Macaca fascicularis: one gene and its partner. The protein of the gene in region 1 purifies or fractionates together with the protein of each later gene. This does not show direct contact. Links are inferred from orthologs where the notes say so. Each region holds a gene or a part of one and is shown on either strand. Other genes may lie near its edges.

Region 1 (2,883 bases):
AAATCCTGAACACTTCTGGTCCCAAGTATATTCAGATAAGGGACACTGTGTGAAAACAAGACAGCAGGTGGTTAAAGGAATTTCCACACTTAGGTTGCTTTCAAGAGAGACAAAAGTATTAACAGGATCTTAATCTGCCTCAGATTTACTGGGGAGCAAATGCATTCATATTTGAGGATTTCTAAAATGGTAGAGGCTGAGGTGGATCACGAGGTCAGGAGATCGAGACCATCCTGGCTAACAAGGTGAAACCCCGTCTCTACTAAAAAAATACAAAAAAACTAGCCAGGCAAGGTGGCGGGCGCCGGTAGTCCCAGCTACTCGGGAGGCTGAGGCAGGAGAATGGCGTAAACCCGGGAGGCGGAGCTTGCAGTGAGCTGAGAACCGGCCATTGCACTCCAGCCTGGGCAACAGAGCAAGACTCCATCTCAAAAAAACAAAAAAAAATGTTTTTAGTTAGCACCAAAAAAGACCAGGAAAGAGTATGTGATTAATACATTTAGTAAATACAAGATGACTTTTCCTTGTACTGACTTTATTTTTAAATGGTATTGGATAAATAACATAAAACAGGTAGTTATTGTAAATAAAATCTGAAAGGAGCAGAGGAAGCATGATGTTTCTGAATCCTTTTATTTTTCAAAGGACTTTTAAAATTTCAAACTACAAAACGGATTTCATACATTCTGCCATAAATAAAAACAAACAATAAGGCAGGACTCTACATAAGCAAACCAAGAACAATTGTTTTCAGAAAATGTGATAAAATGCTTTACAATCATAAGCCATCCAGTTTTTAAAATAAAACTGTTGAAAAACTCACAAATCTTCAAGCGGCACATACAAGACACCCTTGAAGAGGGAACAAAATGTGGTTCTGCCATTTTGTATTGTTCTCACATTTTTGAAAACCTAATTTTGCTTAGAGCATAGGTCTGTTCCATATTCTAAAATTCACACAGGTTGGTTTGTTTTTCTCAAGAACCATATGATAGAGGCACCAATGACAATACAACTTTGTTTCCAAGAACCTTGTAACAAAGCGTTGTCTCTTTTAAACATACGACTTGAGGCAAAAGGAATCCTGGACAGGAGTTTTCTGCAGAGGCGTTTAAGCCCTACCGAATCCGCTTCTGCTGCCGTGCTCTGTAAATGTCATGAACAGGGGGGACAACGGCTCCCTTTTCTTCATCTTCATCTGAATCCTCGTTGGGCCTTTTGACGGCCTTGGTGAGTACTGCATTACTTTCCACAGGGCCGTTGCCTTCTACAGCTAGCTCTGGGGCCCCACCAGTAATGATCCTCACAGCTTCCTCAACAGCTGTTAAAACAACAAAACGTAAAAACATATTCCACTATGAAAGGGTATGTATGTTCAACTGTGGACACTTTATAGTTCATTTCATAGCCTACTAATTTAGCAAAACATGGAATAGTACTACTGATACTAAATAATGAAAGAAAAAGACAAAAGCTGCTGTTAAAACTAATAATTTTAATAAGCCAAAGTACATGTTCACATGAATAGAAAAGATAAACTTTTATGACATTTTACTTAGTGGAATTCAGTATGAATAAGCCTCTCTCTGCCAAAGAGGGTTTGGGTAACTCCTGGGTTTCACTGTACTTCAAATTGGCTGGCTGGTTTCAAAAACTTCAGTGGCAGAGAATAATAATCTCTACGGCTTATGAGACAACAATGTGGAATGACACTCTGAAATGGATTTTCTGTTACTTACTATTTGGTATCTTGCATCTTCGGAAAATTTCCATCAGTTCATCCACTTGTACGAAAGGACCCTATTTTGACATGAATAAATTTTAATCCCAGTAATCTGACAAGTTAAAATAGCAGTAACTTTATACATAATTACTGTAACCCACAGAGCCAGTATCTACCGTGAAAATAAGTGAACAAACCTGGAAACAGATAGGAGGAGGGAGAAGTTTCATTAAAACAACAGCTGCAGGAGGGACTGGGAACACTCCACCAGGTACAGGGTGTAAGCCTGGAGCTGTGAGAAAAAGAAAAGTATGAATCAAGTGGGATGGAAGAATTTCTACACAGAGCTAAAATCAAGTGACTTGCACATAAAGATCTTCCATGTCTATGCTGCTTTGTTCTGGACACTGAAAATACTTTTAGGGCTTTACCAAACCAAAGTGGGTGAGACAGAGCAGTCTCAATGCCATGGCCACTGCGAGGCAGAGAAGTAGACAAGTGACTTTGTATAAGACAATTGGGGACTGAACTAAAGTCAGTTTTTGTCAAAGACTGTTTCTGAGTTACACAAGTCATTTGTTTAGCAATCCTTTTTCAAGTCAATTATTCAACAGCATATTTAATCAGAAGGGCTTTCTTCAAAAAGAATCTAGAGAGGCTACTAACCATTAGTAAGTAAAGAAACCAAATTGTATCAGTGAAGAAAGTTTCCAGCTGTTCAGGTAAAAAGCTGTTAAGCTTTTTTTTTTTTTTGATACAGAGTTTCGCTCTTGTTACCCAGGCTGGAGTGCAATAGCAAGATCTGGGCTCACTGCAACCTCCGCCTCCTGGGTTCAAGTGATTCTCCTGCCTCAGCCTCCCAAGTAGCTGGGATTACATGCGTGTGCCACCATGCCCAGAAAATTTTTGTATTTTTAGTAAAGACAGGGTTTCACCATGTTGGTCAGGCTGGTCTTGAACTCCTGACCTCAGCTGATCCACCTGCCTTGGCCTCCCAAAGTGCTGGGATTACAGGCGTAAACCACTGCACCTGGGCATAGCAGCATTTCTGAAAACCAAGTATTACTGCCAAAATGGGTTCCTGGAATCTGGATCATTGAAGTTTTGTTTTTAGGACATTCTTAGTTAATCTGTTTCAAAGATTAAAGCTAAATCACTTG
Region 2 (3,845 bases), on another chromosome or scaffold:
TTCAGGCTATATAAAAACTTCTACCTACTTGGGCCTTGATTATTCTGGTAACATGATTAATGATAGAAAAGTAGATTATGAAATAAGAAAACTAAAAGGCATGTTAAATGCTGTTTAGTCTAAAGGTTTTTAACTTCTGTCTGGTGGAGCAAATGGACACCATCTGTATATGAAAGCCAGATACCAAGAAACTGAGAGTTTACTTAGTGAAACCTACTACTTATGAAAAGTCAAATATCATGTATAACTCATCCAGATCAACTGGTCCCTAGACACTGATTTTTGGGAAGGATGTGAGAGAATTACTGACTCAGATTTAGGGCTTAAAGACTATTGAGAAATTGGAAGGTATTGAGAGATAGGGTTTCATCAGAGTGGACTTAAGTAACCTGGTTGATTTTAGAATTGTCACAGCAAAATCAACATGCTCTGATGCTTGGGGCCTGGCAGAACCTTGCTGGTCTCTGAAGGCTGGGATAAATGAAGCAACAGTAAACCAGGTGTACTCCTTGATTTTTCAGGTAACACAACTTTAGAAAAAAACAATTCTAATACAAGTTTAACCTTATCCTGTTAACTCTAATATTTCAAAAATAATTCTAAAACACTAAGACAATGCTTATCCTATTGCCTCCAATAGGATTTTGTATTTTAAATGGTTTACCAAAAAATGTGTCTTATACTTTTGGGTAAACTTTATTTTGTTATACAACCAAAAATCTTAAAACCATCTTAGTACATTAACGTTTTAACAGGTCAACTTTTAGTCTTTATGAGCAGTTTTCACAAAGTTTTACTCAACATTTAAAAAATGTAGTTAACATACTGTAGACACTTCAATATTGCTGCTTATTCTTTGTAATCTTATTTGGCATAATGTTGTCATGTTCAGAGTTATTTTACAGTAACTTAAAGTGAACAGACACACTCCCTCCTCCCCCCACCCTCAATTAAAAATAAAAAAGGAAAACAGAAAGAAATAAAAAGAACAAAAAGTAAGATTAGGTTCTAGGAGGAGGGAAACCCTAATCCAAGTGTGGGGATGCAGAAGTCAGCTTTTTGCACCCATTCTCCATGCTACAGAATAAACTTTGAGACTACAGCCAAATATTTTCTAAAATCTTTCAAGAAGTTCCAGTGGATTTCTGGATTTGTTCCTTTAAAATCAGGATACTCTGCCTTTGCTCAGGGGGCAGCATGGCAATCTGATCTGCAGTTAGTTGAAGAACCTGCATGATCAAAGCCGCCTTTTCCTGATCCTGTGGAGTGACCTGGCTCTGCCCAGGACTAAAACTGCTAGGCTGGCTTCCACCTTGCTTGCTTGCCCCCTGTATGCCTCCTCCTTGTATACCCACTCCTTGTATGCCTGCCCCCTGCATCCCTCCTCCTTGTATGCCTGCCCCCTGCATGCCTGCTCCCTGCATGCCTGCTCCCTGCATGCCTGCTCCTTGTATGCCTGTACCCTGCATACCAGCTCCAGGATTCCCCACCCCTGAAATGCCTGGGACCTGTCTGGGTCCCTGAGGAGGGCCACCTGCCCCTATATTAATGGGACCAGGACCCTGAATTCCACCAGTCATAGGACCTCTTGTACTGGGGACAGGGCCCCTCATCTCCAATCCTCTTGCATCCATGCCTCTTGCTTCCATCCCTCTGGTTTCCATGGCACAGGTCTCCATTCCTCTCCTCTCCATTACACGTGTCTCTAAGACCTCAGTTTCCATGGCGCGAGTCTCCATCGCTCGAGAATCTCTACTACCTCTACCATCCATAGGTAGACCCCTTTGATCTATCATGGGGCCTCTGGGCTCTCCAATTAGCAGTCTGGGATCTCCTAATGGCCCTCCCCTCATCTCATGTGAGGAAGGGCCACGAGTGTCATGACCAGAGGCATGATGCATGGGGGGACCCTGATGGGGTGGACCCAGATAACCTCTGGGCTCCACTTCTCCAGTGACTGAAAGCAAAGTCCCTCCACGTGGGTCATTTGGAGCATCTCCTAACAGTCCTCGAGGAGGTAGACCACCAGGAGTCATGGGTCCACGAGGTATAGGAGCTCTAGGATCTGACATCTGCACTTGTCCCCGCTCTAAAGGCACTGGGCCAACCCCTGGCATTCCAAGTTGGGGCTGCATTGCTCCTCCAGGAGTTAAGGAACCAGGACCAGGTCCGGGAACTGCAGCTGGTATTGGCCCTGGAGCTGGAATTCCACCCTGGATAGGAGTCTGCATCAGAGGAGGAATGTCCTTCACAGGTCTTCTAGCCAAATGCTGAGGCTGAGGAGCTGGTGGATTCTGCTGGTTCAGCAGAACATTAGGTCCTGGGCAGAGCCCAGGGCCAGGGCCAGGACCAGGGCCAGGGCCAGGGCCAGAGACAGACACAGACTGAGATTTGCCTGGGATCAGTGGTGTGACATGTATCTTCCGATGAAGAATTTTCAGAGCAATCTCTGGATCCATGATTCTCATCACTACTTGCGCCTGCAACAGCGCATAAGCCAGTTGTGGATTTTGAAGTAACATGTTTCGAGCTTCCTGGTGGCTGTTTTGGACACAGAGCTTCATCTGCTTCATCAGCTCAAACATCTGCTCCGGGGGGAGACTGGCTACTGCTCTGGTAATCGATTCAGGGGCATCTTCTGGATCGATGGGATCCCCATAGGGTGAGTCAATAATGGGCGCTGCAGGCCCGAGGCTCTTTAACTCCTCCTTATTCTTTTCACTGGCAGCATTGTCCACCCGAAGCGCTCTGCCACTGAACTCCCGCCCATTGAGGTTCCGCATGGCACTAAGCGCGGTTTCCTGGTCTTGGTATTCGCAGAAGCCATAGCCCTTGGGTTTTCCCGTCTCTCTATCGTATACCAGCCGGAAACTGACAACAGAACCAACCTCCGAGAAAATGTCCTTTAACTGCTCCTCAGTTGCCTCATACGGAATGTTCCCCACGAACACGGAACGCAGTGATCGATCCATTGCCGGGTCTCTCACCGCCAAACTCGACATGATTCCGGTTGTGCACACTGCCGATAGCGGATTCTTCCAGGCGTCTGTCCTCTTGCGACCGACACTTCCGCTGAGCAACGGAAGCGGCTCTCAAGATCCGGGCAGAAACCTTACTAATTCGCTTGAATCGTTCTGCTTGCCTGTGGAACCTGCATCCCACTAACAAGTTATCTAATGCTTTAAGTCCCTGATCCTTCGTGGTTCTGTCAGCTTCTTATTACAGAGTCGCATGATTCCTTTCCCATTTCACCTTCCGCCGACTTTCTGTGGAGCCCCAACAGCCCCGCTACGACACCCTTGGTGCGAGATGACCACAGTAAAGATGGCCGCATAGACTTCACCATAGTAACTGGGAGGGGACTCCTCCCTTGACGTCAAAGGCGGTTTTGCTTCCGTTCCACCGGCGGGAAACCGCCAACCGAAAGCGGATTTAAGGCTGCATGTTTTTCGTTCTGACAAAGTATTTTCATGTGGCCTTTTATTATAGTATAGTTAAGCTAGATTTCAAATCACATTCCAGACTGAGGCAAAAGCGTAGTCGTTTCAAAGCACATTTGAGATTTGCCCCTTAAAGTAAAACAGTATTATATTTCCTTTTTAGAACAACGTTTTTGGAAATTAACTGACAAGAAATATAAACTGAAGCGTGTGCCTGCTGGACCCTGCCCCCGCTCTGTTGCTTCCTATAACCGCTGTTAATGGATGGGTGGCAGACCCTTCTAGGTTTTTTTGAGCACACGGGCAGCAGTCGTGCTATTCCTAATATTACGGTTTTCTTCCTTAATAATAACCGATTTCAGTATTAATTGGTGATTAAATAAATTAGTTATTAGCATTTTATGG

What was found.
Region 2: the proteins of CSTF3 (region 1) and CSTF2T purify together in Homo sapiens (co-immunoprecipitation; 4 studies listed by BioGRID and IntAct, counting the BioPlex papers as one, with this or other methods). This does not show direct contact. The link is inferred for Macaca fascicularis from reciprocal best matches to the Homo sapiens genes CSTF3 and CSTF2T.

What each region holds. Positions count from the first base shown.
Region 1 is NC_088388.1:32,496,067-32,498,949, reverse strand, and holds the end of CSTF3 (cleavage stimulation factor subunit 3), read right to left. Parts: intron 2,016-2,883; coding exon 1,921-2,015; intron 1,801-1,920; coding exon 1,740-1,800; intron 1,322-1,739; coding exon 1,119-1,321; 3' UTR 618-1,118; downstream 1-617. UniProt on the Homo sapiens protein: One of the multiple factors required for polyadenylation and 3'-end cleavage of mammalian pre-mRNAs.
Region 2 is NC_088383.1:94,861,394-94,865,238, reverse strand, and holds CSTF2T (cleavage stimulation factor subunit 2 tau variant), read right to left. Parts: upstream 3,049-3,845; 5' UTR 3,003-3,048; coding exon 1,125-3,002; 3' UTR 681-1,124; downstream 1-680. UniProt on the Homo sapiens protein: May play a significant role in AAUAAA-independent mRNA polyadenylation in germ cells. Directly involved in the binding to pre-mRNAs.